Linked DNA regions of Drosophila melanogaster. The protein of the gene in region 4 interacts with the protein of the main gene of each other region in a pairwise test. Each region holds a gene or a part of one and is shown on either strand. Other genes may lie near its edges.

What was found.
Region 1: the proteins of CG12116 (region 4) and Unc50 interact in a two-hybrid assay, tested with the Drosophila melanogaster proteins (one large-scale study listed by BioGRID).
Region 2: the proteins of CG12116 (region 4) and Axs interact in a two-hybrid assay, tested with the Drosophila melanogaster proteins (one large-scale study listed by BioGRID).
Region 3: the proteins of CG12116 (region 4) and Odc2 interact in a two-hybrid assay, tested with the Drosophila melanogaster proteins (one large-scale study listed by BioGRID).

What each region holds. Positions count from the first base shown.
Region 1 is NT_033777.3:8,673,949-8,678,942, forward strand, and holds Unc50 (Unc50 RNA binding protein), read right to left. Parts: upstream 2,666-4,994; 5' UTR 2,571-2,665; coding exon 2,240-2,570; intron 1,985-2,239; coding exon 1,625-1,984; intron 1,570-1,624; coding exon 1,433-1,569; 3' UTR 1,335-1,432; downstream 1-1,334. Other genes in the region: mRpL19 (mitochondrial ribosomal protein L19), read left to right, coding at 239-302, 355-1,211; CG8043 (uncharacterized protein), read left to right, coding at 3,166-4,212; CG11755 (uncharacterized protein), read left to right, coding at 4,337-4,801. UniProt on the Drosophila melanogaster protein: Required for cell surface expression of acetylcholine receptors.
Region 2 is NC_004354.4:16,678,788-16,686,127, reverse strand, and holds Axs (abnormal X segregation), read left to right. Parts: upstream 1-2,232; 5' UTR 2,233-2,687; coding exon 2,688-2,706; intron 2,707-2,770; coding exon 2,771-2,919; intron 2,920-2,994; coding exon 2,995-3,101; intron 3,102-3,656; coding exon 3,657-3,927; intron 3,928-4,005; coding exon 4,006-4,218; intron 4,219-4,343; exon of another isoform or gene 4,344-4,556; coding exon 4,557-5,527; exon of another isoform or gene 5,528-5,587; coding exon 5,588-5,764; exon of another isoform or gene 5,765-5,826; coding exon 5,827-5,860; 3' UTR 5,861-6,039; downstream 6,040-7,340. Other genes in the region: Septin4 (septin 4), read left to right, coding at 218-620, 717-977; sing (singles bar), read right to left, coding at 6,066-6,143, 6,218-6,358, 6,502-6,813; CG13010 (uncharacterized protein), read left to right, coding at 7,285-7,340.
Region 3 is NT_033778.4:8,004,634-8,010,080, reverse strand, and holds Odc2 (ornithine decarboxylase 2), read right to left. Parts: upstream 2,836-5,447; 5' UTR 2,818-2,835; coding exon 2,548-2,817; intron 2,294-2,547; coding exon 2,136-2,293; intron 2,084-2,135; coding exon 1,786-2,083; intron 1,728-1,785; coding exon 1,479-1,727; intron 1,349-1,478; coding exon 1,280-1,348; intron 1,225-1,279; coding exon 1,087-1,224; 3' UTR 1,019-1,086; downstream 1-1,018. Other genes in the region: Odc1 (ornithine decarboxylase 1), read right to left, coding at 3,450-3,590, 3,650-3,718, 3,849-4,097, 4,155-4,452, 4,508-4,665, 4,961-5,230. UniProt on the Drosophila melanogaster protein: Catalyzes the first and rate-limiting step of polyamine biosynthesis that converts ornithine into putrescine, which is the precursor for the polyamines, spermidine and spermine.
Region 4 is NC_004354.4:8,466,470-8,471,476, forward strand, and holds CG12116 (uncharacterized protein), read right to left. Parts: upstream 2,544-5,007; 5' UTR 2,286-2,543; coding exon 1,464-2,285; 3' UTR 974-1,463; downstream 1-973. Other genes in the region: Cp7Fa (chorion protein a at 7F), read left to right, coding at 4,451-4,507, 4,914-5,007.

The DNA.
Region 1 (4,994 bases), on a different chromosome or scaffold from region 4:
AATGAATAAAATTATAAATTTTTTAAATTTAAGCATACTGCATACTTTTTTAATTTACAAATTTTTAATATTTTTCTAAAAAAAATCGGAGCTTAAAACTAACAAGTTGGCAGTACCCTTCCAATTATAAAGGGTTATCGATAACTCTGCTGTAGCTATCGGTGCTGCCAGCTGATTATAGTGCGGCATGATTATCTAAACATCAATTTGTTTCAGCCGATCCCGAAAACTATTCAAAATGAACTTAAGCACAAGAGTTATGCTGAATAGGTTGACACAGCAGTGTGTCTACAAGCGGATTGGTAAGGAGAGACGTTTTATCTTGTGCCACACATTCAGGAAACGTATTTTCAGTGACCTTCTCCACCAAAACTGCGGAACATGTAATTGAAAATCAGGAGGAACAGAAGAAAGAGGCTCCGCCAACCACGCCGACTTCACCGGTGAACCGGAAGACAATCATTCCGGCCAATTATCGGTTTGTTTACCCAGAATTCCTGCCCGATCCGAAGGTGGAGTGGCGCAACCTCGTGCGCGAGAAGCTGGAGCGACTGGACATGCTGGATCGCCGCAAACAGATCGACCTGCCCGAGTTCTACGTTGGATCTGTGCTTGCGGTGACAAGTTCGGATCCCCATGCCGCTGGCAAAACCAGTCGATTTGTGGGTATCTGTATCAATAGGGATCGCTGTGGACTGCGCGCCCGTTTCATTCTTCGCAACGTGATTGATCACCAGGGAATGGAGGTGGTCTACGAGCTGTATGATCCTACCATCCTAAAGATCGAGGTGTTGCGGCTAGAGAAGCGACTGGATGACAGTCTTTTCTACCTGCGGGACGCTCTTCCGGAGTACAGTACTTTTGATGAGAACATGGAGGCCGAGCCGCTCGAGGAGGGTGCTCCGGTGCCGGTGAACGACATTAAGGTGGTGCTCCGTCCGCGTCCATGGCTGGAGCGCTGGGAACGACAGAATCTGCGTGGTGTGGCCAACATCGATGAGTATCTAAAAGACAAGCATCGCCTGTCGGCGGCCAAGGTGCAGAAACCATGGGAGAAGTACGACATGATGAAGGACTACCGCAGCTCGATTCCCGAGGAGGAGCAGACGGAGATCTTCGCCGAGGTGCACACGGAACTGCACGCCCTGGAGCTGCAGCGAAAACGCAACAAGCGCAAGCGCACTTTCATTAAGCCCAAGCAGCTGGCGTAATTGCATTTGTTGTTCATTTTTTAGAATAAAAATATCGAAAAAATGTTGTTTTATAGTTTTCCACGATTTTACTTTATAAAGATGGTTTTATCATCGAAAAAATGACTGAGGCTGCAATAATATGGTTTGGATAACGCTAAATTAATTAGTTTATTAGTCATAATTGTAGTATAGTGGCTTAGCAACTAAACGCAGAATAATTTACAACGCACATTGCATTACTAATATACGCGATACTTGTAGAAATTGACAAAGGATATCGTTGCGTTCCAACCAATAATTGTGACGACCAGAAACAGTAGAAAGATGATGGGCAGGGCGATGAGAATGATGCGGGTGTTTTTCAGATGGGGAATGCCTGCAGGAGGAAAGCTTTTTAATTCGAGAACTTGATGATGCATTTAATAACTTACAATTGTATCCCAGAAATGTGATGTACACATAATAGCCCATGCCCATCAACCAAAAGGTGTTGCCCAGAAATCGCGAGATGAACCACGTTTGGCTGATCAGCCAGTTGTAGAAGAACAGCTGGATGAAGTGCAGCAGCATCAGTGGCGGAAAGAAGGCATTTAGATGGACATCGAAGGCATAGCCCCACTCGATATCCGGCTCCAGGCTATTTGTGCGCAGATACCGATTCGTCACCGCCCAGAAGAACGAGGCTATTATGATGCCCACGAAAATACAGTCCACGAATACCACATAGAATATGAACGAGATGCTCTGCCAGAAAGACAGTCCCAGCACATACGCAAAGCCCAGGGAGGTGACTGTTGAAAGATACATACATTATTAGACGGCCTTTTTTTGATTAGTTCTAACAGGTTGTTTCTATATAAGGCTGGAGTACAATAGTAATCTTATTGGACACTGATGAAATTCGTTAACTTTAAGCTTTTAACTAGATATAAGCAGAAGAGAAGTTATTAGTGCCCAACTGTAGATATGGTACAAGATGACAACAGATGCAGATGGGATCTCCCTCCTCCCTTTTGGAGTGTGAATGCTTGGGCATTAGAACTCACCACATAGGCAGACGACCAGGAGGACCAGAAAGGCCGGATCGTCGCGGGCGAACTGTGACTTGGTCTGTTTCCGGTAGTTGAAGTTCCGGTACACCTTTTGGGGCGCCACAAAGAGGTAGAGCATCTGCCACAGGGCAAACTCGAAGTCCATTTGATTGAACTTGAGCAGACGTCGCAGGTATTTGTAGCTCTTGGTGGTCGCCGAGAGGCAGTCCCTCCGGTGGTTGGCGGGTGGCGGTAATGGCGAATGGAGACGCGAGGCACTCGAGTAGCCGGAAACCACCGACGGCGTCGGCGATTGTGTATACTTAACGTGGCTATATTGAGTCATTTTGTTTTGTTTAAAACAAATTTCTTGTGTTTTCAGCAGAGTGGCTGCGCCCTCAGCGCCAAGAAATACCGATTTTCCCCGTATAAAGTGCTAAAATAAGCCAAAGAAAACAAGATGATGTGGTGTCACGATAAGAAACAGCTGATTGGCGATGGGAGCGTGAGAGAATTTCGCGGCTAGAAACAATCGGCAAGTGCCATTAAAAATATACCGTAAAATATATTCATTTAAATTTACAGTACTTTTTACATTCTTAGAGAAAATAAAATTGTAAGTATACAGACATATTTCACACGAATTTTATTGCATATGCAAGTGTAAGATATTCAGTGATATTTAACTATTCCACCACAATTCGTGTCACGTAAAAAAGAAGTCCAATCGCTCATCTCCAAACGAACTGTCAATTCCAAATGTTATGAACCGGGTGCCAAAAAATCAGTTCCTTGCTCGACTTTGTTTTGAGTACCAAATTTAAGTTTCTGCTGCTAGATATATCGAATAAGTTTAATCAAATTTCCAGCACAAGGTAAGAGCGATTTCCGTTGGCATTTCCAGTACCAATTGCAGGCAACAGATGCCTCCATTTTGCAGCATGAATAGATGTTCGAATCCGTGGTTTCTGCGCGCCGTGCGCCATCACATACGTAATCTCCACGAGATGAGGATTCCATACGCCCGTCCGGTGGGCCCAAATCAGCGCAATTTCACGTTGGAGCCGCTGGGAAATCGAGAACTCATCCGTGTCCACGGGGCCGAGGTGGTGCCATTCCTGCAGGGTCTTGCGACCAACGATGTGGCCCGGATTCAGTCGCCGGGGGGTCCTGCCTCAATGTACGCCCATTTTCTCAACAAGGCGGGCAGGCTGCTGTACGACACCATCTTGTACCGCACCAACAACCCGGAAACCATCCTTGTTGAGTGCGATCGGGAGGCTTCCTCGGACTTCCGACGCCATCTTCGCACCTACCGCGTTCGCAGGCGCATTGAGGTCGACAGTGTAGACGACGAGTATACCCCTTGGGTTATGTTTAACCTCAAGGACGCTTCGGAGGCTGTACCCAATCCACATCCAGACTTATTTGTGTCTCCCGACCCGAGGCTGCATGTCCTTGGCACTCGCATCCTGGCCCCCACCGACATGGACTGGTCCAAGCTGTCCAAATGTTTTGCTGACTTCGGTACCGCCACAGCAGCCTCCTCCGACAATAGTTATCAACTGCTGCGCTACAAGCAAGGAGTGGGCGAGGGCTGCTCGGAACTGACACCGGGCAAATGTTTTCCCCTCGAAGCGAATGCGGATTACCTGCATGGCGTGAGCTTCCACAAGGGCTGCTATGTGGGCCAGGAGCTAACTGCCCGCGTCCATCATTCGGGCGTGATCCGCAAGCGATACATGCCCATCCGGTTGACGGCCCCAATTGATGTGGGTTCCAGCCAGGACGTAACTTCTTTGGCTGGAGCGAAACTTGGACGCGTCTTTGGCTTTGCGCACAAGCATGGTATTGCACTGCTGCGCATCGAGAAGGTTCTCAACGGCCGTCCTGAGTTGATGATCGATGGCGAGCGCTGTTATGTTGAACGTCCAGAATGGTGGCCGGAGGATTTGCCTGGAAAGCGTCGCATGGCTTTCGCTGAGTGACTTACGAACTGATTTGACCAAATATTGTTATCATACTATTGTTATAAGTGTAGTAAATGTATATAGTCCTCGTATAAGTTGCACAGTCTGTGTTTTTCTATTGGTCTTTTAGAAAATCTCAGACATGGATCCCGATGACGACCTCGTCCTGGAGAATGAGGCAGAGGAAATTGAACGGTTACAGCTTCCCGAGGAGCTTAAAAAGCCCATTGATCCCGAGGAAGAGGATGAACGAGTAGCACGCATCGAATTCAATTGTTCTGGCTGTGAAATGCACGAGATGGTCCATTATTTTGGACGGAAACCGCCCTTTGCTCTAGGAGTCATATACCCAGAGGACAACTACGTGATGCGAGATCCTTTCCAACCACCTCCACCTCGTTGGCAGTCAAAGCCGGAATACTATATCGCAATGGGGACTAAGTGCTCCATCTGCTCCAAGACGGTGTGCAAGGATCCTGGCTGCAGTTTCTACTATACAGCCTCTTTTTGCTTGCCTTGTGGCAAGGAAGAATTAAAAAACTGGCCACCTGAGGCTCAAGCTCGAATAAGAAAACAAATGTCTGTCAGTCAAGGCAGGCAAACATAAATTAGTCTTTAAATATAAAACAGTAGTATGTAAAAATTATCTAAATAAGCAGTGAAAGAGCTATTGGCTAGAAAGGATACATTTTAAACTTTATTCAATAATGGAAACTCGCACTTATTCAAGTGCGGTTGATTGTATTGTTTGTATTGTATGCTTTCTAATGCTTAAATATTATTGCAAAGTAAAATAAAAC
Region 2 (7,340 bases), 8.2 Mb from region 4:
TGCCACGATAATGCGAAATCCACTTTGAGCAATTTTTCATGCGTAACAATTATTATGTTACGTATATTATATACGATGATTCTTGATTATTGTGGAATGTTTCATGACAAATTTTGTGCGTTCTTGGGTTTCTGGATAGCGAAAAGTACTTTACATATTTTTGATATTATTGTAGAAATATGGAATATAGTGATGTTAACTTCAATCCTATTTTCAGCCTGCGACAGATGGACCTCGATTTGATACGGCGGCTGCACCGCAAGGTGAACATCGTGCTGGTGATCGGCAAGGCCGATTGCCTCAACAAGCAGGAGGTGCGCAAGCTGAAGGAGCGCATCCTGCAGGACCTGGAGGACAACCACATCCAGCTGTATCAGTTCCCCGAATGCGACTCCGACGAGGACGACGACTTCAAGCAGCAGGACCGCGAACTGAAGGCCTCCATTCCGTTCGCCGTCGTCGGCAGCAACACCATTCTGGAGGTGGCCGGCAAGAAGGTCCGAGGGCGCCAGTATCCGTGGGGCGTGGTAAACGTGGAGGATCCGGAGCACAGCGACTTCATCAAGCTGCGCACCTTCTTGATATCCACGCACATGCAGGACCTCAAGGACACCACGCAGGTGGGTGATACTATTTTATACTACTTTTAGAGCGAAAAAAAAAATGCCGCCTTATCTTTGAGCATTACTAATACATATACTCTTGAAATGTTTCAGGACGTGCACTACGAGAACTTCCGGGCGCAGTGCATCTCGCAGATTTCGCAGCACGCGCTGCGTGAGCGCGGCAAGTTGAAGCGGGACTCGATTAGCTCGACCAATGGATTCGACGCGGCCATCTCGGAGACGGACAGGCTGCTCCTGCAAAAGGACGAGGAGATAAGGAGGATGCAGGACATGCTCACCCAGATGCAGGAGAAGCTCAAGCAGACCCATCTCATGGAGATGAAGAAGAATGACAGCGTGATCGACGTCTAGGGAACGGAAATGGGAACGTGTTCAATTTTGCACCGCCATATATGCATCTACCTACTATATAGGACTTATATGGTGACCCAGAGAAATCCTGGAGCAGCTGCAACCAAATCGACTTTGTTTATAAGCTAGCACAGACTTTTTAAAAACAAAAACAAAGACACCCAATTAAATTCAAACAAAAACAAAACTGATTAAGACAACGACTCTCCCCCCCCAAAAAGCACAAAGAATCCGACGAACCAAAAACTTCAGACATCACACAGCCTTTTTCAATTTTGTAGCTAAAGTAACGATTTCGTTAAGAACTAACGATTAAATAGAACACGTCTATCTCGAGACATTAGATATTGATCAACACGATAACGATATTATACCAAAGTTTAGGGAGTTTCAAAAACTTAACGCAAGTAAATTGTTAATGGAAAAGATCAAGAAACCACAGAGGCACATAGAAGTACCGATAACGATAAACGGAAAGACATAGACAGATCCCAAAAATGTTTTAATTTATTGTACAAGTATAATTTTGATATATTTGATTTCCTTTTGTTTTGGTTTTAAAGAGCAAAACTTGAGAATAGGTGAGTTATAAGCAAGTTTGCTTTATTTATGTGTAAAGAACTTATACCATTTATATTGTAAGAATATATCAGATCGGATGATATAGGACAAACCGCTGGAGGTTTTGGCACTGAATTTCCATGAATCGACTTTCAGCAAGTTCCAATTATTTATGCTAATTACGTATTATCAGATATATGTATCTATGAACAAAACCTATTTTGTTGAAACGAATTGTTAATGAATTTATTTTAAATTAATCGATTAAGCCTTCACGCAACAACCATAATATTTAAATGAAATTATAGTCGAAAAATTATATATAAACATAGCGATTGCTAAAAATCGATTTCAAATAAAGATAAAAACAATTTAAATGGTGCATTTACAAACGACATTGCCTTGGAGAACTCTTTTTAAATTTGCAGATTGGTTTTCCTTTTAAGGAAACTACTCGAATGCTTTGAATTAAAAGCGGCTAAGTGAATTAATGGAAACCAACAACTAATTTAGCAGTCTATGATTTTAAATTTTGAAAACGGCCCGTGTATCCCGCTTTGAACTGCTTATTTCTGACACTGCTTGCCAACTGCTTGCCGTGACTGCCAGTCAACGAGTGCAACAGTTGCGCATCACTGGCTGATTTGCACACGGTTATCGATAAGTGCTTGATTTGTTGCAATGCCGAAGGGCGGGAAAGAAGAGGAGATTCTAGTTAATTTAAACAAATTAAAACCAAATTAATTGTGACATATATGATTTATTTTTGTAGTTGTTGCTGTTGTTGTGACAGAGAGGCGAATCGTTTCGATAACATGGCAGCGATGACGTCACGCGCCACGCAGCTGGGACAGCAACAAAAACAATTGGATTTGAACCGGCAAGAACTGAATATTTTGGCATTATTATTAAAAATTCAGTATTTTGGCATTGGCGCGGGCCAAGATACACTCATACACGCAATTAGCACACACACGCACACCGCAAGTGCGAGCGAGATAGCAAGCACTTACTCATGCGAGCGGAGAAGAAAAGCAAAAACAAAATAAACGAAACTGAGAGAATTCTGCAATATCATATTCGGATGTGGATGTGATTGTTATATTTTGTTATTAGTTCAGCGACGCCACTCGTCGTCACCCGTAAACGATGTCCGAAGATGCCAAGAGTAAGTGCACCCAGTGAGCTGGCACTTAATGCCACAGACCCATTAAAATCGAATAAAACTCCAGGTCCAGGACCACGCACACGGAACATCATCGAGAATCAGCTGTTCCGCCGGCAGCGTAGCCTAAAATTGGAGGCACTGCAGCGCCAGCGGACCTTGGATTCCAACGATGGGGTGGAGGGATTGGGCGCAGATACGGAACCCTTCGACAAGGTCAGTTATTTTGCATTTCATGAGGTGCTGCGCATGGTTTATTTACGACAGATCTTCATCTATCGCCAACAACAGACGCACATCGTCATCATCTTTACGGAGAAGGCCAAGCTAAGACACTGTCAGGATGTGGAGAAGATCATTCAGGAGTTTGGCATCCAGACCACGCTGGAGATCGTAGGGTAAGATGGGATTGCGTTAGATACATAAAGAACAGCAAATCATACAAGTTGTGTGCTTGAAAACTACTAAGAAGTACTAAGAAAATTTAAATATTTAAGCCATGGAAAATCATTTATATAACGCATTAGAATATAAATTTACAGAAAATATTAATGCTGTAGTATTATAAAGTCTATATTATTAACTCATACGCAAAAACAAAAATGATTTTACATAATCAATAGTAACAAAAGAAAACTTGAATGAATTACATAAATTATTCAACGAGAAAATGTAGAAAATATAGTTTAAAAATCTTCACAGATGTTACATTAATGGCTGTTCCTATAAAATTATAGCAAACTTTCAATGAAAAACAATTAGGATTTAGGACACATCAGTAAATCATTTTAAATTAGCAAACAACAAGTGCATTGTTTATAATACAAAAACCAGATCTTTTGATCTCCAATTTGTTTAGAAATGAAAATCGATTTAACTATTTGTTTACGAAAGTGCCTGGTTAAGCACTCCTCCAGATTGGCAAGCAACTAATCCAATTAAATTTCGTACAGGAAAACCGAAAAGTATCTCTACCTATCGGCCAGCGTGGATACTCTGCTCCGTTTGGCCGATGCCGCCGAGCTGGAGAAGATGACCACCACGCACAGCATGCAAAAGTTCAATCACGGCTGCATCTCGGACTTTCTACTGCCCGGGATGGGCAAAGAGCAGATCCTGCGCTACTGCGAGATACCTGTTCTCATCAAGGACGTAATCCAGGACGGCATTAAGTCCTACGTGCAAAAGGGCTACATAGAGGATATGTTTCCCCTCCACGATATCGTAAGTTATAAATATATCCTAATTATATACATGGATAGATTGTCTAATGTTATGCAATGCATCAATCTATACACTTAGCTGTATCTCGAACGCTTCAACTGGAACCTGAAACGCACCAAGCTGCCCATCGAGGACATCCGGAACTACTTTGGTTCCAGTATAGGTCTTTATTTCGGCTTCATCGAGTTCTACACGAAGGCACTGATCTTTCCCTCCCTTTTTGGTATACTCCAATATGTATTCGATCTGAACATCTCGCTGGTCTGCAGTTTCTACGTTGTTTGGACCACGGTGAGTTAAATTGTTAATTTTCAAGGCGAAACAAAGTAAACCTTTGCACAATAAAAATAAATTGCTTTTACAGCTTATAAATCTAAGTATAGCATCACTTAAGTGCTCTTAAGTTGGAAACTTTTAAGTGCTATAGTAAAAATAGCTAGCATGTATGTATTTTGATCTTGCAGTTTTACCAATTTTCAAGTTTGAATAGTTTAAATATATCTATACACCGACTAAATCATTGCCACAAAAAACAGTTAACTAAAGATTAAATACACTAGAGCTGGCATAAAACGTTATGGTTTTGGTCTTCCAATCGATTTTATATTAACATATTCCTATATTTTTAGATTTTCCTGGAGTTGTGGAAGCGTAAGTGTGCCGGCTACTCGTATCGATGGGGCACCATTGAGATGAGCAGCCTGGACAAGCCGCGATCCGCATATACGGGCCAATTGAAACCGGACCCCATCACCGGCAAGATGACACTCCACTATCCGATGCGGTACACATACCTGCAGATGTACTGCATCTCGTATCCGGTGGTGCTGGGCTGTGTGGTTGCCGCCGGCTGGTTTGCCCTCTACCAGTTTCAGATCGAAGCCGAGGTGCTGGCGGATTTCGGACCAGACTCCTGGCTGCTGTACGTGCCGGTTATTGTGCAGTCGGTGCTGATTGCGATCTTTTCGTGGGCATACGAAAAGCTGGCCACATTCCTCACCAACCTGGAGAACCATCGAACTCGATCGCAGTACGATCGTCATCGGGTCAATAAGCTGATGCTCTTCGAGATCGTGAATAACTTCTTCTCGCAGTTCTATATTGCCTTCGTGCTGCACGATCTGCGCCAGCTGAAGTACCAGTTGATGATGCAACTGCTGGTCTTCCAGCTGCTGTGCATCGCCCAGGAGATTGGTATACCGCTGCTGGCGGTGCTGCGCCAGAAGTACGCCGAGTTCCGTCATCGCGAGGTGGCCGAGGAGAAGCTGCGATCCATCAGTGATCTGCCGCGCTACGAGCAATCGTTCTACGAATCCGGACTAGATGAATATCATTCCACGTACGAGGACTACCTGCAGGTATGCATCCAGTTTGGATTCGTGGTCCTGTTTGCCGCCGTTGCCCCATTTGCCGCCATTGGAGCTCTGCTGAACAACGTCTTTGCGGTGCACATTGATATGTGGAAGCTGTGCAACATCTTTAAGCGACCATTTGCAAGGCGCGCCAAGAACATCGGCGCCTGGCAGCTGGCCTTCGAGCTGCTCTCAGTGATGTCGTTGCTTAGCAACTGCGGTCTGCTCTTCCTTCAGCCGAATGTCAAGTGAGTTTTGGCCTTTTTCTGACTTTCTTACTGATAATCATCCTTTTTTTAATCCATCAGGGACTTCTTCTCTCACTGGCTGCCATCGGTGCCGGATCTTTCGTTCGTAATCTTCGAACACTTGCTGCTGGGCCTGAAGTTTCTCATCCACAAGGTTATTCACGAAAGGCCGCGCTGGGTGCGCATCGGACTGCTAAAGGCGGACTTCGAGACCAGCCAGGCTCTCAAGCAACTCAAGTGGGTGTAAAACGAATTCAATGGAGAAACAATAAAACATCTAACGAACTATGTACTTGCAGAAAATTCAAGGCGGAGGCCAACAAGATGGCCTGATGGGCCACAAGATCGCCGGATCTCCCACTCCACTCCTTTTGGTGCTAATGAAACCAGTCCATTTTAAATGTTATTATTTATAAACATACGACTAATCGCGTTTACCGCGAATGTTCGAGACCAACGGAAGTAAGGTGCCTTAAACCTAAAACTCATATAAATATGTCCACAGAGTACTTAAGATACTGCTTTTGTCTGGCCGGGATTAGCGTGCGCCTCGGAAGTGCCGGAACGCCAAGTAGGCATCCAGGGCATGCAATATTCCCGCTGCATAGCCCATGTACTGAAAGTTAAGGAGTTTAAAGGGATTTTTGGTTAAATATAGGCATATTTTTTATTTAAATCAGCAGTACTTACATAGCAGGCTGTCATGGCCGGATATGCCCAGAATCCGGGTCGCACCAGGAACTGCGGATGTAGCCATACCACGCAGGCGAAACCCATGTAACTGGATGAGCTGAAGTACATGCAGCTGGCGAGGCCATTGAACAAGGTCTCCTGGAATAAGAGCAATCACCATATCGTTAGATCAGAAAAAATTAAAATTAAAATGCATCCTTCAATTTGAATTGAATTTTGTGTTCGAGCAAGTTAGTAGAGAATCTATTCTTCACTTGGAAAAGCGCTCCAAGTCAACCTACGAATAGTGACTGCCGAATGAGACTGTAGGATTTGTCGGAGAAGGCGTAGCACAGTAGCAGGATGCCAGTGGTGGTGAAGCAGTGGCCGGTTGTGGCCAGGAAGCTGGTTAGCGCCTGGCCAATGGAATCGGCGTATGGTACGCCGTAGCGGATGAGCAGTCCCTCGCAGAGCATGGCCAGGCCCAGTTGCATCAGCTTCAGGAGGCCGATCCGCGACAGAACGAACCCGAAATTGATGCAGGTGCAGACGCGACAACAGCATATCCGAATGCCCAGCGGCTGGCCCATTCCTCGAACTCCAAACGAGGCCATGGTCTGATTGCAACTGATCCGGCGATGCAGCGACTCCGCTTTGTTGTATGTTGTCGTAGTGCCAGCCAACCAGGTTCTATAAATAGCTGCCGATACACATGGACCCCAAGTGGTGCATTTCCTTGCATTTCCAGCGACGTGGCAACAAATCCACCCCAATCTCCAGCTAAATTTAGAACAGCAATTCACAATGGGCGAGGATTTGTCTATGCGGAAGGTATCTTCCTTAAATATCCGATTTAATTTCTCTGAAACTACATGATATATATGTTAAAATATTGATACAACTTGGATATCAACCTTTTCACCTTTTAATTTGATCCATTTACCCAAGTGTTTGCTATCCTACGTTCAGTTTGATTTTCGATGCCATCCAAATTCTAGTCGCCAATTCGAATCGTTCCAAAAAAAAAAAACGTTAAGCATAATTCCCCAAATTTCGAGCTCACGCGAACGTGAACCACTGCCAGGATGTGCATGCCGTATTTGAGTAAGCTCTTCGGTGGAGGCGATCGCCGGCAGCGTCG
Region 3 (5,447 bases), on a different chromosome or scaffold from region 4:
TCGTCGGTGTTGTGAGATACAATCATTACTAACGCGTTTCGTAGTCCCTCCGCCCGTTTCCAGACCTACCTTCAGCACCCAACCGATACCCAGTCGAAATTCGCAAGCTCCTCGAGTCCATGTGTCGTGTTAACCAATTCTCAGCAACCATGGCCAAATGTGGCTCCACTTTGGGTGCCAGAGGCGGGCGAAACAAAGCGAAGGCACAAGAGAAAGTAAGAAAATTTCATTTGCATCAATCACCAAGAACTGATTATGGAATAAGTAGTTTGTACTCTTTATTTGCCACAAACACGGGCAAACTCCCAAGAAATCCCAATTCCATAACCCATAACCCTTAATCCAAAAAGGGGCAACCCACGAAGGTCGAGAATGCATATCGTTATATTGTTATATTATATCGTGACATATCAAGAGCTCCCAGTAGTAAGACACTCGGATGGCTCGACACAGCTAATATAGTGACATTTTATAGAATTTACTTACATTTTTGAGGCATCTGACAAGTTTGATATATTTATGCAGAAGTGAATTAAGCAAATGCAGCGTGTATGCAGAGTGGAATTTTTGAAATTTTTTATACATATACTTTTATACACACATACATACGTACCTTTTCGATTATGTCTACGCAAACTAAGTTGTAATCCGATTAGCTATACTGACACTGACACTCCAAGTCCGCCCGATCCCCTACCCGCCTCCACACCAACCACGCGGTGGCTTAGGTCAGTAGCCACCCACTGGTGGGCGGTGGTGCAGCGGGAGCGGGCTCGGGTCCGGAAATATTTTCAAGAGAATGCGCCGCACCACCGATTCGGGTCAGTTTCCTTTGGCTAGAGCTGTTCTTTTCAAAATATTGCAAAACACTGAACCCCATCGAAAGCTGGGCTTACATAATGCTCTCCATGTGAGCAATCTGAAAATCTATCTAATAAAGAATCCATGTTGGTTACAAATGCAAGCGAGAGTTTTCTTTACGTCGTGATACTACTGAAATGCGTGGTCTTAATTACATAAAAAGATATTTGCAAATTTTAATTTTAAGTTGAGCATAACAAGTATTGTTCTTAGAGTACGGTAAAGTTACTTTGCCTTGAAGAACCTGGTCTCCGGAACATCGAATCCATTAAAGGGACTGGCGATGGGCATGGTGTAGGCTCCCATATTGCGAAAGCCTAATAGATCGCCCGGATTCAAGTTGGGCAATAGCAAGTCCGATATCTGAAGGCGAGGTGGTGAAAGTTATTATGTTGAAAGTCTTTAGAAACTCACTTACCTTATCCATAGCATCGCAGCTGGGTCCCCAAATCACAGACTTGAGTTTTGGCAAGCTCTCGGCTTCGTCCTGGAATCGGAGGACAATTTATTATTACTTGAACTATTTAATCAATAATTTAATACTATAAATACTGTTTAAGCACTTTTAAAAAAGTTGTTAAATGATAAAAACAATTGGAGCACACTTCTCTTCTTACCAAGTAGAGCTCGGGAGCCACCTCTTCAGGGTAGTAAAACATTCCTGCGAACGCTCCGAAGATTCCATCATTCAGGTAGTACATCATGGTGTCCAGCTTGCCATCCTTGCTGCGGACTTCCCGCTTGGCATGTACCTTGCAGATCAATGTGTATGCGGCCTCCACAAAGAAGCGTCCTGGCTCGGAAATGATTCGGATACGCTTATCGGGAAAACGCAGCTCCACTGATGTGTTTACCGACTGCGCTATCTATAAGGAATGTGTTTCATCAACAATAGCTCGAAATCTAGTCAATTGCTGTACCCACTTCCTCGAACATCTCATCATCAATGCCAGGAAAGCCACCGCCAACATCCAATAGTTCCATCTTGTGACCTATCATCTCGCCGACCTTAAAGATGTTTTCCGCCTTCTCGATGGCCCGATCGTAGGCCTCCACCTCGCTGCATCCGGAGCCCACGTGGAAACTGGTACCGGTTACCTTCAAACCTAAGGCCTTGGCCAGAAGCATTAGGGCTGCGGCGTCCGCCTCCGCATCGCATCCGTATTTGTCGCCCAAGGGGCACAGCGCCTTTTTAGCCTCACTTTTGAACCTCACGATGAGGCTGGAATAACGAAACATATCACTACCAGAAGCTCAGATACGTATAGACTTACTTGGAGTCGGGATAGTGTTTTCTCAGCTTGTAAATCTCGTACTCGTTATCCACCGTACCGTTGACCACCTGCTGCTCCTTGGCGTACCTCAAGTGGCTAGCAGGACGACAGGGATGTGCGAAGATAATGCGCTCAGGCGAAACGCCAAGTCCCAGGACCTGAAGGAGTACATGGAAGTTATGGGAATGGGTAGAGAATAAATGAATAAATCTAAGCGTATTCTTTTCATTCAATACCGATCTTCATTTATTTTAGTGAATTCAACTGATAATTGTCGTTTTGAATCTTATGACATTTAGATTTGATTTGTTTCCATATTGTTATTATTCGCCATTTAATCCATCGATTCAAGGTCGATCTCAAATTTGGAAGCTTGGAATACCCAATACTCGGAAAGCGCATCCGTACTTACCAACTTAAGTTCGTTTTTGGAGGCGCAGTCGAATCCAGTTCCGAGATCCGCCAGAAACTTGACCACCACCGGATCGTCGTTGCACTTGACGGCATAGTGGGGCTCAATCCTGGGCATAAGCTTGTGCCAGAGACGGAGCTTCCGCTCCAGGCTGGACAAGTCACAGATGTTGAGGGCCTGGTCCAGATGTTCTAGGTCTGCCTGCTCGATAACCTTGCGAATGTTGAGCTCTTCATCGTAGTATTGTATTCTTAGGTCTCCGTTCACCATCTCGATTAGACTGATACTGATACAAATGTGGTCTGCCTGCCCACAGAGAGTCCCAGCTTTGGGATTATCTATTAGGAAGTGACAAAAACATTATTTATACATAAACGATGTCGACTTTGGACATGAGATGGATTGCTTTTCGGTTTTTTTTTTTCAAGGTCTACGCATCCGTAAATTATGCTACGAGTCAAGTCAACAAATTTATTAAACTAGAACTGGTGGCAATTAAAGTTCCAGTTCATTTGCATGATTGATTTCTAGGCAAATTATAAGAAACTGATACTTAAGATATATTTGATGGATGACAATTTTGGGCTTTTATCGCTTACTGCCTTTTAAATAGATGATTTGTGTGACTTAGAACTATTAGCGAAAAGTATGACAGATCTACTGACTTTCATAGTAACATTACCGTAAGTTGTGAGATCCAAAATTGTTTACGCATGAATTCCCAGCTACGAAATACACATCTCAAATGCTCCTTTTACATACATGAAGATATTTATGGGCCTAACAATCCACCAGCCAGGTATTTTTATAAACCCAAGTCTACTACATATAAAAGTTGTAAGCAAGTAAACAATAGAGAGTCCACAAAATGTTGGTTTTATTGGATTGAGTAAGTGATTTAGTCATATAGCTTGGAAGTACAGGGTCTTGGGGACTTCGAATCCATTGAATGCACTGGCAATGGGCATGGTGTAGGCGCCCATGTTTCGGAATCCCAAAAGATCGCCTCGGTTTAGGTTGGGCAAGTGCAGGTCCTCCGAAATCTGAAGAAGAAATAAAACATTACTTGGTATTGCTAAGTTTCAAGCAACATTTGACTTACCTTATCTAGGGCGTCACAACTTGGCCCCCAAATCAAGGACTTTAGGTGTGGCAAAGATTCTGCATTGTCCTGTGGGAAAATGAAGTGAATTGGGTCTTAAAAACATGTAGAGGTCTGAGCTATTCAAGGGGAACCCCTCTTCTTTTTAACAATGTTCAATGACAACTAAAATAATGCATATGATAATGGACAATCTTACCAGATAATGCTCTGCAATCACCACTTGATGGTCGTACAGAATGCAGTTGAAGGACCCATAGACGCCGTCATTCAGATAGTACATTACGGTGTCCAGTTTGCCAGCTTCGTTCCTGATCTCCCGCTTGGCGTGGATCTTGCAAACCAAGGTGCAGGCTGCCGCCACAAAGAAGCGTCCTGGTTCGGCGATTATGTGAACGCGTTCGTCGGGAAAATGACGCTGCACCGAGGTATTCACACTTTCGGCTATCTGTAAAAAGTTTCCTCTGAGCAATTGCTTCAAAATCCTCTGCTTACTGCATTACACCTTCTCAAACTTTACGTCATCGCTGCCAGGGAACCCACCGCCAATGTCCAGAAAGTCCATGTCATAGCCCAGTAGTGCGCCGAACTTGAAGAGGTTCTTGGCCTTCTTGATGGCCCGATCGTAGGCCTGCAGCTCGCTGCATCCGGAGCCGACGTGGAAACTGGTGCCGGTCACCTTCAGCTCCAAGGATTTGGCCAGCAGCATTAGGGCCGCTGCATCCACATCCGCATCACAGCCAAATTTGTCGCCCAGTGGGCACTGTGCCTCCTTGGCCTCGCTCTTGAATCTCACGATCAGGCTGGATAACAACGTATAGATATACTAATGATCGCATCCGACGGTAGTGCACCTACTTGGAGTTGGGATAGTGCGTGTGCAGCTTGTATACCTCGAACTCATTGTCCACCGTTCCGTTGGACACCTGGTGCTCCTTGGCGTACTCCAGATGGCTGACAGGGCGGCAGGGATTGGCGAAGATGATACGCTCCGGCGAGACATCGAAGCCCAAGACCTTTGAATTGAATTCATGAAAAGAATAATAAAGTTATTAAATTATACGAAATTCCGACAAGTAATCAAATACCAATGTCTGGGCTCTAGAACAACACGTGTTAATCGCTTGAAAAATGAAAACCTACATTCAGAAATTGATAAGGCCCAGAATTACGTTCCATTACTTGGAACATGACTATATAGTACTTTGTACTAAAGTATTTATAAAAACATATTAGTGTGGCACCAAAAACTATGAGATGCACTACCAGGACTTAAGGCACTTGTATATGTAGTAACTATTCCCAACCCACCAGCTTGACTTCGTTTTTGGAGGCGCAGTCGAATCCGGCTCCCAGCTGGGCCAGCAGCCTGACCACCATTGGATCGTCATTGCACTTGACGGCGTAGAAGGGCTTGATCCTGGGCAGGAGCTTCTGCCAGAGGCGCAGCTTACGCTCCACGCTAGACAGGTCGCAGATGTTGAGGGCCTGGTCCAGGCGCTGCAGGTCGCACTCCTCGATCACCCGGCGGATGTTGAGCTCGCGTTCGTAGAACTGGATTTCAGGGGTAGCGGCCGCCATCTCGGAAAGATCTCAACTGAGTGAGTGAGTGGGGCGCTCGAGACGCGGCTAATCCCATACTAGAGGTGTTATCAGTCAACGACTTGTGCTCGAATCGCAACAGACTTGCGAAACATTTGGAAACACGCTCCGTAAACGTTCCTCGCTCGGCGGGAAACAATGAGGCTCTAATTAGCGGCAAAGGTCAAGCGATTGGCCGTTACCCTCCCCTCCTCAC
Region 4 (5,007 bases):
TTCGAGTAAAATTTCATCGCATCCTTAAGTGACCCTATATGGATTACCAAATTTCATTAAGTAAATCAAGTAAAGCTATCAGAATGTTGTATAAAAATATTGCAAGCTATTTCAATTTAATAAAAATTTATGGCTTGAAGATGAGCAGTACGACTTTCACTGCTATCAGCTTAATGAAGACAGGACGTACAGAGTTTGCCGTAAAGGCTTGCATATATATATATATACATATATATCAAAACCTATGGTCCTTATGAAAGTAACCCAGCTAATATATTATGTATATAATATGTGTTAGAAAGTCAATGTCAAGGTCAGCATCTTAAAGAGTTAACTCGAGTAATCTTCTCTCGAAAGCTCTGCAACTTTGTTATAAAGTTCAAGCTCTCAATTTGTCATTAAATTTAATTTGTATGTTTATTCCCCGCATCCAAGGGAAAAACTATAAAATCCAACTGATTACAGAATCTTTGCAACATTGTAGGGAAGCTCCATTTATAATTCCTGATTGCTTTTTACAATATTTCATTTGTAATTTGATTAGGAAAGCTTTAGCAACATTTTGAGCAACTTATGGCTTTTTAAATTACTTTTCTATAAGGAATACCCAAAAGTATGCCTTGAATATAAAACAGTTGATTCATTGAAAGTAAACTGAAAAAAAAAAAAATTGAAAACCATAAATACATTTAATCAGAATGAGGCGAACTAAGCCATTTATAACTGTATAGATTAAAGATTTGTCAAAACCTCATTAGTTATTAACTACAAATTCAGTAGCCAAATTTTCACATATAATTTTGAAAACCCGGATCAAGAATCAGTCTATTGGGAATTTTGAAAATTTTCGACCCGGCAACACCACACATACAAAATTCTATACATTTGAACACGTGTGGGTTTTCTTATCACTGAGACTATTCAATCTGTCTCATTTTCTGTTTTGAGCTAACAAATATATATATATATATATGTATATTCTGTATATTTGTTTAATCTGTTGTGCATTGCTGACTCATAAACTCACGCCTGCACATACAAATTTACCAATAGTAACTAATTACTAAGTATATTCTGCAGTACTCTTTTTTTGAACATCAGTTTTAAATATATTATAGGTAAAATATAAGGAGTGTGCTTCGGTGATTCCTGTCTATTCTAATTAAAAATAGACTCAATTTCAAATTCAGTTGAAAGTAGCAAATCAACAATATATGTTAATATTGTGAATGGCAAACCTATAGAAATCTAAAATTCTACCCACCCACCCAAAATAAAAATATAATTTTTCGTTCGTTTTCCTGTTCGTGTGCTTGATTTTCGTGCACTTGCAGGTCTGAAATCTGGGACATTGGCCAGATTTTATTAATTTCCAAGGCGATCAAGTCATGTACAGCATTTAAATCGTCAACCAAGATTAGAACCGAGTCCATCGGGGACGCAGCCCACCGCCACGGTGCTACTCATAAAACGAAGGTGTCGTAATAGTCGACATCGTGACCGGAGACAAAGGATATCTCCTCCAGAATGTTGATCAGCTTGAGTGTGGCCTGGCAGGGCTTGATTCTCGGCAGCTGGAGCAACTGCTTCGTGGCTATCAGATCAGCGGGAGTGATCCGATTGCCGTTCACATCGCACTGTCCCTCGTGGGTGTCCATCAGACCGGGCGAGAAGCTGAGCACATGGACACCGAAACGATACTCCTCGGCGGCCATGGCGCGGAAGTACATATCCCTGGCCCGTTTGCACGAGCAAAGCAGACCAGCATGGACCAATGGACGTACCATCAGCGATGAGGTCACATTCACCGCCAGCTTCTCCACTCGCTCCAAGTGCTTCGATTGCAGCCACGTCTGATTGAGCGCCACCGGAGCATAGAGCTGCTGCTGGACATAGGCCTTCCAATCGTCGTCGCTCTGGGGTTCCAGGAGCATATGCGTGGCCGCCTTTCCCTCGTTGTGAAGGATTATGGAACGCTCGAAGCGTTGATTGTCCTTATCCGCCATGAAATTATCCATCAATGCCTGTTCCATTAGCTGCACACCATTCGAGTGATCTTTGTCCAACTTTCCGATTGTCACCTTAACGTTCTCCGTCTTCAGTTCGCTCCGGAGATGATTCTCCAGCTCCCGAAGCTGCTCCTGATCCTCATCCAAGATCAAAGCAAGGGATCCAGTGGCCAGGCGACGGCAGAACTCCAGCGCCAGGGATTGACCCAAAGGATTTGAGCTGCCGCTCAACACCAAAAAGGTGCGTCTATTTAAATCCATTCTCTTTGCTGCCATTATTTTGATTTAAAGGATTTCGGGTACTTGAGGATTTCGGGAACTGAAGAATCTTCCACTTGTTTTCACTTGAAGCTGTACGACTGTACTGATGCCTTATTTCCTCCGGGCTTTGCCAACTGGACTCTGTTTTCGACTGATAAGCTTTATTCCGATTTCGATTGGCCAACTATATGTGCATATATATGTATTGTATATATATTTATGCTCGACTGAGCAACTCAGGTTCCGATTCCGTATGGAGAAGCGCTCTGGACTGGTGGGGATGTCAGCTTGGGGCTTTTATACAACCCAATCGACTGATAAGCCGGGGTTCAGGCGTCTGGTCTTGTTGCCGTGCCATTAACCATTTGTAATGTTTGGGATTTTGGCACCGTAATCCGGACCCATGGCGCATCATTTAACCTCTGGAATCTGATGGAGTGGTGCGCCAATATTACGCATCGGGGGCCTGGTCCTGGTAAATAGACATAGTTTAGATAATGTCCTAACAAACAAATTGCTCTATATGCTTTAACATAGATTATACTTTTCATTTCATTTTATACTTTCATATTAGAATAAGCTAATTTTTTCAAGCCCCTTTTGGCTTTGCCACTGTTTCCCATGAGCCAAAAACCTGATCGATTGTCATCTTGAAGTTCATCGAGTTCCTTTGATATGGCGCTAAGTCAAGGTTGTCTTTTTAGTGCAAGAGATTAACCAAAGAATTTTGTAAACAAATCAGTTGGCAACAATTAATAGTGTAGCACAGATGGGGACAATATTATGTGGAAAGTAGAATAGTACATTTTATAGTTTTGTCTAAGCAAAGTCCCTTCTTTTTTTTGCAAAACAAATTAAATAAATTTCCATTCATATAGTTTTTTCCCATTAAAACTGCTTTCCTATTTTAAGTATATATGTTTATTTTCCGAATCACATAACAGGTTATCGCATTCAGTCGTTGAACTTTCGTAGACGAATAAAATGCAAATGGTTTTTGCAATTACATAATACATATAATATATGCCTGTGAATTACATGGGTAGTGTAACACGTGTGAATTTAATGAACTCTCTCGTTACTAAACATCCGTTAAATCGCATGTTTAAAGATAACGTAAGGTACATATATATTAATGTGTCATATAGGGGTTTTTTTTTTTTTGCCTAGAAATGTGATTTTTCCATATTTCTATAGACATTATCGATCGGAAGGGAAGTGCTTTAAAATCTATATTCAAGATCTATCGATAGACGGCAGTGTTTCCAGAATTTGCTGTTTTGACTATATTTTCGCCAATAACAAGCTCGAATTAGGTTAATGGCCTTATTATATTCCGGTGGAGTCTGCTGCCGATTCCCGGATTCTCGTTTCGAGATGACGCTGACCCATTTAGAAATCGGGAACGGAACGCAGTTCTAATCGTAGTATAACCAAATAAGCTCACATTTGATGGAGGGAATAGCTATGCAAAATAGAGTATACAGATTATCTAAGTCGCACTACTTCCCTTTTCTTATAATATATAATTACATATTAATATATTCATATATTGCAACATAACTGCAAATCCAAGATCAAAAATAAACCTCTATGCACCTATGAATGCCAAAATCTTGATAACTTTGCTGTTTTGCTTGTTGGATAATGACCAGTCTTGAATGGCTGGAACATCTTGGTTGGTGTACCCCTACTTCATTGTTAGCCACTCACATGGTATCGTCCAAAGTTCTTGGAATTCACCAGTGGACAGTGGCAGTGGGTAATAGCATCACATCTGTCTGTTTATGTTGATTTAGGGGTATTATCAAAAGTGCGCGGGGCTTTCAAGCCGAAGCACGTAGCATCGCAGCTTTAGTGGGCAGGCGTGGACCTAATGGAAAGCATATTTGGAACACAGGCTATACCTGAACCTGACCCTGTCCTCCGTTCAATGTCGTTCAGCGGGAAAGTGACCCCTAGAAGATTTCATTTAGCTGGAAGAAAGAGTGAAAATTTCATTCACCTCGATCAAAATCGAGAGCAGCCCAGCTGCGGAAAACTAATGCATGAGCACAGCTTTCGGCGATCTGCGGTTTTCGGGTTTATCACGGTTATATAAGCCGTGTGGACCGCTCCCACAGTCAGTCCAAACTTTTGACGAGCCAAGAACACAGTGATCCGATAAGAACCTTTACAACATGCTAGCCTGCAAGCTTCTTCTCGCGTTGGTCATGGGAATGCACTGCATTCAATTGGTAAGAAACTTAAAAATCGATTAGTGTCCATCGAAGTGGGAGTGCATTAGAAAGAAAGTGAATTTGTTAAAAAAAAAACAAGGATAAGCTTTCGAACGAACTGATCAACACTGCTTAGTGTGCAGTGATTACAAAAGCTTAAGAGTGCTTCCTAGAAAGATTTTTAACACTGTTTACTGGGTGGTTAAAGGATAAAGGGATACAAGAAGTTTCCGTGAATTAAGAATAGTTAATATAAAAGGATTGAACAGATGAAAGGATGCTGCTGGTCAATGAACACTGTGTGAAATTGCAATTGGAGATAGGGATGATACCCCATGTGTTACTTGGATCTAACAAATATATTAAAGAACTGAACCGACAAAGAACAAGGATTATTAATAACTAACCTTAACTACCCCTACAGTTGATGGCGGCCTGCGTGTGCTCCGAAAAGGGAACGGACTACTGCCAAAGCTGTCAGGGATCCACGGTCATCCGGCCGAAGCCCCGATACTACG